2 linked regions of the Macaca mulatta genome follow. The protein of the gene in region 1 interacts with the protein of each later gene in a pairwise test. Links are inferred from orthologs where the notes say so. Each region holds a gene or a part of one and is shown on either strand. Other genes may lie near its edges.

Region 1 (3,814 bases):
TAATATCAAATACTTATATGGCACTTAACCATGTGCCAAGCACTGTTCTAAGTCCTTTATACTCATTAAGTCAGTTTAATTCTCACAATAATCTCATGAAGTGACTATAGGTATACTAAACTATCATCCTAATTTTAAAGACAAGGAAATGAAGGCATAGGCAGTTAAGTGACCTGCCCAAAGTTACACAGGAAATAAGTGGGAGATCTGAGAGTCAAACCCAGGCAGTCTAGCTACAAATCTCTGGCTCTTTAGCCACTATGCTACCCTGCCTTAGAATTTTTATAATAAATTATACTAAACAGAGACATTAATCCCAAATGTAATAGAGAGCAGATATGCTTTTCAGATTTGTATAACTTCTTTTTTTTTTTTTGAGACGGAGTCTCGCTCTGTCAGCAGGCCGGAGTGCAGTGGCGCGATCTCGGCTCACTGCAAGCTCTGCCTCTTGGGTTCACGCCATTCTCCTGCCTCAGCCTCCCAAGTAGTTGGGACTAAGGCACTCGCCACTATGCCCGGCTAATTTTTTGTATTTTTAGTAGAGACGGGGTTTCACCATGTTAGCCAGGATGGTCTCGATCTCCTGACCTCGTGATCCACCCGCCTTGGCCTCCCAAAGTGCTAAGATTACAGGCGTGAGCCACCGCGCCCGGCCAAGATTTGTATATACTTCTGAATCTCTCATGAAGATACATTTTGAATGACATCTGCTTATAGTTTCTGAACCTATAGTCAGTCATCAATTGCACACTGTTCTCTTCATCACTAGACTTATGTGCTGCATCTGAGAATGAGTAATTGTAATGATGATCAAATATATGAACAAATGCATGTGAAGAGCTTAAGATCTGTTAGAACAGTGTACACTACAGTAGACACAATTTTTTTCTAACAACTTTATTAAGGTATAGTTTACAAAAAATTTCACTCGTTTTAAGTGCACAAGTCAAGTAGTTTTAGGAAATGTACAGTTGTGCAATAATTACCACAATCCAGTCTTAGAACACTTCCACTACACGTAGTTACTTTTTTTTTTCTTTTTTGAGATGGAGTCTCACCCTGTCGCCAGGCTGGAGTGCAATGGCTCAATCTCAGCTGACTGCAACCTCCACCTCCCGGGTTCAAGCAATTCTCCTGCCTCAGCCTCCCGAGCAGCTGGGATTACAGGGATGTGCCACCATGCCCAGCTAATTTTCTGGTTTTTTTTTTGAGACGGAGTCTTGCTCTGTCACCAGGCTGGAGTGCAGTGGCATGGATCTCGGCTCACTGCAACCTCCGCCTCCCAGGTTCAGGTGGATTCTCCTGCCTCGGCCTCCCAAGTAGCTTGGACTATAGGCACCCACCATGCCAGGCTAATTTTTGTATTTTTAGTAGAGAGGGGGTTTCACCATGTTGGCCGGGATGGTCTCGATCTCTTGACCTCGTGATCTACCTGCCTCGGCCTCCCAAAGTGCTGGGATTACAGGCGTAAGCCACCGCGCCTGGCCTAATTTTTGTATTTTTAGTAGAGATGGGGTTTCACCATGTTGGCCAAGATGATCTTGATCTCTTGACCTCGTGATCCACCCGCCTCAGCCTCCCAAAATGCTGGGATTACCAGCATGAGCCACCGTGCCTGGCCGCACAGTTATTTTTATAGAGAAGTCTCTCTTGTGACTTGTGAGCTCCTTCTAGTTTGGTACTTTAAAAATTTTTAAATCAAAAGAAGCTCAGCACTAATACCTGGACCCTAAAAGTTAGAAAGATCAGAAAACGAAAATTTAGTAATGTACACTATCCAATTAGAATATACCGAAGTCAAGAGAAATATGAACAACAGGTGCTTTCTTAGGGTCACAGATTCACTGCCTACAGAAAATGTGTAAAAGGGAATTCAATGAGCGCCCTGCCCCCAGTCCCAAGCAAATGACAAGGACTCAAGAAAACCATTCAACAGAATAAACCACAAATGTTCAAATTCAATATTGTGCTTACCAAAAGCTATCACCCTGAGTTCAGCAGAAACTGCTCACTGCCAGTGTAAACACAAATTCAACCTAACAACTTTTTTCATAATACAACTAAAACATATAACATATTTTGTTAAATAATTCACATACCTGATTTCTTTGAAAACAGAAATTACAGGCCCAAAGTTTTGCTCGATAATCAACCTGACTGTGAGAAAGATAAATATTGTTAGTAGGTACCACTTTTATTTTTAAGTTAGAAAGCGTTTATTTATAAATTTCAAGTTTAGTAAATCACACAAATAAATATTTCTATGTGTATGCGTAAGTAAGTACAAGTACGCAAAATGTTCACTGCAGTTAGAATTCTGGCTAAGTACACCAAAATTTCCATCAAATAGCCACAGTGAAGAAATACTAAATCTCTTTTTCTGTTTCTCGATTTCCTAATTTTTTTTTTTTTTTTTTTTTGAGACGGAGTCTCGCTCTGTCGCCCAGGCTGGAGTGCAGTGGCACCATCTCGGCTCACTGCAAGCTCCGCCTGCCGGGTTCACGCCATTCTCCTGTCTCAGCCTCCCGAGTAGCTGGGACTACAGGTGCCCGCCACCTCGCCCGGCTAGTTTTTTGTATTTTTTAGTAGAGACGGGGTTTCACCGTGTTAGCCAGGATGGTCTCAATCTCCTGACCTCGTGATCCGCCCGTCTCGGCCTCCCAAAGTGCTGGGATTACAGGCTTGAGCCACCGCGCCCGGCCGATTTCCTAATTTTTTAAATGTCATGATTTATATAAATTATAGGTTATTTCCCTTTTGCCTTTTATCTTAACATACTCTTCATGATTTTTTTCTAACATCTTTATTGTCCAGCTACGTGAAACTACTAAATCCCAACATTAAGAGCATATTTCACACACAGGAAAATGTTTCTAGATTTTAACCTGACTTAGACCACTTGAAGAAAAGTTGGGCAAGCACATTTCACTTCCTCGAACTGGTTCAAGATAACGCTTCAGGTACTTTTCCCCTTCTTTCTACATGGAGAAAATTAATAACCAGTGGCTACGATTTTACATCAGAGCAGCACTCATATATGGGCACATTAAATAAAAGCAATGGGAATGAAGTAAAAAATGTTCCCTCATATAAAAATGTTACGACACTCTCCACCTGTTTAAAAATCATTTCAAATAATGTCCACATTTAAAAGAAATAGGTCACTATATCAGGGACACACACACAAAAATTACACTTAACAAATTGTTAAGAGCTAAAATTTCTTCTGCCTGCTACTTCTCCCTGCCATATGGCATCCCTGTACCAGGGAAGCATGACAAGACAGTCTAAGCTTTTGAATTCTTTTGGGAAATTAAGAGGAATCAATAAAGTCTATAGTTAAGCCAAAAGCAAACTGATTATCAGCATAAAAAAAAAAAAAGTGAATTACAAATCCTCTCCCTCTACCTCATTCCTGTAAGATTCCAATTTTATCTGGAATTATCAGGCCAGGGAGATGTCTACAAATATTCACCACTTACTACTCACCACAAGAATCATTAAGAGTTTCACTACTGCTCATCACAAATTTGATGACTTGCCCAAATTTAATGATTTTTATGAGCATCACATAAAAGTCATAATATATTGTATTTATCATTTTTACCAGTTTCAAAAGAATCCATACCAAAGTGGGTTGAGAACAGCTTTACAAGTTGGCCTGCTGCAAAGCACAGGTTCATATTGTACAGGAGGTAGGTCTGGACGTTCTTTCAAAGGAGTAAGGAGACAAGCCAGGGGTACAACCATTCTTGTAGCCTCCAGCCGGCTGGAAGGCCACACATTCCAGCTAAAACGCACACCATCCCGTTCT
Region 2 (3,914 bases), on another chromosome or scaffold:
GAGGGCCGAGGGAAGGTGGGCACTTATTGCCAAGGCGAGCCAGGGAGGGGAGAGAAAGGGAGTGGTGTGTGTGCGTGTGTGCGCGCGTGTGTGTGCCTGTGTGTGTGACGTGTGTGTGCTGTAGTGTGTGATGGGGGCGAGTGTGAATGGGTGAGTATGGTAAGGGGGAGTGTGCCCCTCTTAAAGCCTCCCTGGGTGCCCTCTCCCACCGCTGCTGCCGCCAGCTGTCACCTCACCACCTTTACTCCTATCTCCTCCCCACATGTCTCACCTTCAGACGGCGACTCTCAGAAGCTCCTGCGCCTGTGACAGCTGTCGCTTGGGCAGCCCGAAAGACGAATTGTCCTCCTTCCTGGTGCCAGAGGACGCAGGAAATTAGCCAGGTTGCGAGTTGCAAAGCTGCCGCCGCGGCGCCGGGAACGGGGCGCGCCTCATCTCCAGCGGGAGCCGCCAGGCCTGGCCTGGCCGGGGCTTCCCTTTGCTCGCCATCTCCGGACAAAGCGCAGCCGAGCCAGGCTCGAAGGCAGAGCTCCGAAGCAGGCAGGACGGAGCGGAGCAAAAGAATGCGGCTCTATTCTCGCAAGGGAAATTATAAAAAAGTTCATGTTCACGGTTCTCATCCACATGACCGACAGCGGCCAATGGAAGGGCCGAACAACTCATAAAGTTGTATTGCAAAGTTGTAAATTTTCATAAACAACAACGGATTTATGACCCTTTCCCCATCACTGAGAGGAGGCAGCTCTTACACCGGCGCCATCTTACCACCGAGGCCGCCCAGACTTGGGGCCTCAGGTTTTACAGACCCTTTTGGGCCCGGTTTTACTAAAAGAGCCATAAGAAGCGGACCCAACCCAGGCAGAAGACTGGAGACAAGGTCTTGCAGGCGGAACTCAGGATGCTCTGAGCTGCCCGCACAATCCCTCGCCCTTCGCCCCTCGCCCCTTCCCTGCACCCAGATGCCCCAGCCCCTGCCCAGGCTGCGCAGCCCAGCGAGGGTCTGCGGTCCTAGCCCCTCCCCGCGCCACCTACAGCAGTGCGGGACCCTGGGGCGCCCTTGCCTCGCCTGCAGGCGGGGTGGGGGCCTTAAATCCCATTTCCTAGCCTGGGGCTGGGTTCAGGGCGCATGCGAAATCCGTAATCAGCCTCTGGATAATGCCCCTTTCCAAGCCCACTGCGCAGCCTTAGAGGAAAGGGTGGATTTGAAATTTCCTCATGGAATTTATGGAGATTTTTAGGGAGCTTCATAGAATATAACGTATCTGCCAGAGATTCCGTTTTCAAGGGATCTAGAAGATGCACACAAAAACCAGACAAACGTCTCTACACGGATAAAGGCACATGTACAATTATGCACACAGGGAAGGGCATACACTCTATTGTGGGCACAGAATGACATGCAATTATGGACACACAGAAACACATGCACCCAATTATGGACACCAAAATATACACAATTGTGAAATTAGGTAAAAACACACACACAGAAATACATAAACAGAAAAATAAGCACATACTCATACAAATACACACATAAAAATACATTAAAAAATACATGACACCAATACATGAGCATCCAACACTTGGACCATCACAAGGACAGCCACCCCACTTTTGCTTCCCCACTGCCCCTTTCCCTCCAGCCATGCTCACTTCCCCTTTCCCAGTCTCCTCTGGATAAGGTAGTCCACGTTTTTCTTTGTCACCAAGCATCTTTATTTTTCAGTTACATAAAACACAGCTGGGCTGGGAAGTGTGCCTTCCCTGAACCCCAGGATGGAGCTGAGGGGGATACAGGACAACACAGGAGATGAAGGGCATTGTGGAGGGCATTGGACCTCCCCACCCACTACAGTTAGCTCAAGACAACATACCATGCTACAAAGTCACCCCATTAACACATCCTTTCCAAGTCAAGACACTGCCTTACAAATGAACTCCAAGACTATAGAAACGATCAAACAAAAAAATCTTGTTCAAATATACAGTATCTGCTATTATAGGAAACGTCAGGGTGTACATATTTAACACAGCTGAACAGTAAGATACAGGAGCCAGAGGAAAGGACAGCGAAGCTGGGAGCATCTCCACAGTCCTACTAAGCAGAAGGTAACCCAGAGATCTGCAGCCAGCTCAGGAACATTCCCCTCCAGAAGTGGGGGTTGATGGGCCTGAACTTTGGGTGCCAAGCCAGAGAAGGAGGGATTGATTCTAGGGTACAGCACTTAGAATGCTTTTTGGAATAAATATATTATTTTTCAATTTAAATAGATGCCAATACCCTGATCCTGGACCTCAGCACATTCTCAGGGCAGCCTCAGGGACCCCAAAACCTGCGGGCTGTAAGCAGCAGGGGCCTTGTCTGGGAGCAGTCGGCACTAGGTAGCAGGCAAGCCAGCCAGCACAAAATAGGTAGTTTTAGGGGAGTAGGTAGTAGTGAGATTCACGTTCTTGCGGATCTGGGAGGGTGGTGCTGGGTGTCTGCCAGTGCTGGGATACATAGGGGCTTCCTGGGAATGGAGGCCCTCTGGGCTGGATACATAGGTAGTTTGGGGGTGCCTCGAGCAGAGGCCTGTGCTAGGTAGTATTTTGGCCGCGCCAGCGCAGGGCCGGCTGACCTGGGGTTGGGGTGTCTTTTGGGGTCCTCGGAGGCAGAGGGAATCCAAGGCGACCCAGTCGCTGCGGCCGCTCAGTCCACAAAAGTTGGGAGCTGGAGTAGGTGATGGGGGCCGGGTAGAGTGCAGGTTGGGGACTGTTTTGTTTGTTCGTTGTTTTTTTTTTTTTTTTTTTTCTTTGTTTTTTTTTTTTTTTTTACATTTTCTTTTATTTTCCCCATTTTTGTAAATAAAACCAGTGAGTCTCTTAAAGACGCTTTTCCGACTGTCCGGTGCAGCGAGGGCCCCGGCTCGGCCCCTCATTCCTCCTCGTCTTCCTCTTCTTCATCATCGTCCTCCTCGTCAGCCTTGTCCGCGGCAGCGGTGGCGGCGGCAGAGGGCACGGCGCCCTCGGGAGCTGCTGCGGCAGCCGGACCTTCGTCCTTATGCTCTTTCTTCCACTTCATGCGGCGATTCTGGAACCAGATCTTGATCTGGCGCTCGGTGAGGCAGAGCGCGTGGGCGATTTCAATGCGGCGGCGCCGCGTCAGGTAGCGGTTGAAGTGGAACTCCTTCTCCAGCTCCAGTGTCTGGTAGCGCGTGTAGGTCTGGCGGCCCCGCTTCCTGTCAGGTCCTGAGAACAGACATGCAGACACAGGAACACACGGACAGACAAGTAGACAGGGCACTCGTTAGGCTGCTGTCCCAGAGCCCACACCTTCCTCCTGGCCTAGTCCCAGGCGAGCATCCCCCTCTGCCCCAGGCCCCAAACTGAGCTAGGGGAGGAGGAGGGGTGTTAGGGAAAGACCCCAACTGCAGTGCCAGACTCGCAGGCAGCTCTGTAATTAGCAAAGGCACAGAATCCCAACTTTACAACCGCCTTTTCCAGCCGGCTAAGCTTCCACAATGTCCTGCTTCCCCTGACAAAGGAAAACTGTAAATATAGAGTGTGGGCAAGTGGGAAAAGCTGCACTTTTGCCATTCAAAGATGAGCCCGGCCATTCCCCCACCTTGCTAGGCAAGTGGGCGACCCTTCCCAGCAGCCTGAGACCTCAATCCCCAGGACCTTCCTAGGGTACCCCGACCCTCTGGCCTCATTCCCTCGCCCCCATCTTGAAATGGCCCCTGGCACAGGGTCGGGTGAGAGGCCTTGGAGGGCTTGGCTCTCCCAGCTTTTGAGGAAGAAAAGCCAGGCAGCAAGGAAAAGGAGGAGGAAGAGAAGAAAGGGAGGGAGGGTGACAGAAGAGGGAGAAAGAGAGAATAGCGAACAAACTTAATGTTAAAATTCCAAGGCAAATGGAGTTAAATAAATTTACGAGG

Evidence for each region.
Region 2: the proteins of SEC23B (region 1) and HOXA3 interact in binary tests that used the Homo sapiens proteins (3 or more experiments, as listed by UniProt). The two-hybrid records come from large-scale screens. The link is inferred for Macaca mulatta from reciprocal best matches to the Homo sapiens genes SEC23B and HOXA3.

The regions. Positions count from the first base shown.
Region 1 is NC_133415.1:65,485,464-65,489,277, forward strand, and holds part of SEC23B (protein transport protein Sec23B), read right to left. Parts: coding exon 3,629-3,814; intron 2,158-3,628; coding exon 2,100-2,157; intron 1-2,099. UniProt on the Homo sapiens protein: Component of the coat protein complex II (COPII) which promotes the formation of transport vesicles from the endoplasmic reticulum (ER).
Region 2 is NC_133408.1:101,193,395-101,197,308, reverse strand, and holds the start of HOXA3 (homeobox protein Hox-A3), read right to left. Parts: upstream 2,915-3,914; 5' UTR 272-2,914; intron 1-271. Other genes in the region: HOXA7 (homeobox protein Hox-A7), read right to left, coding at 2,915-3,228. UniProt on the Homo sapiens protein: Sequence-specific transcription factor which is part of a developmental regulatory system that provides cells with specific positional identities on the anterior-posterior axis.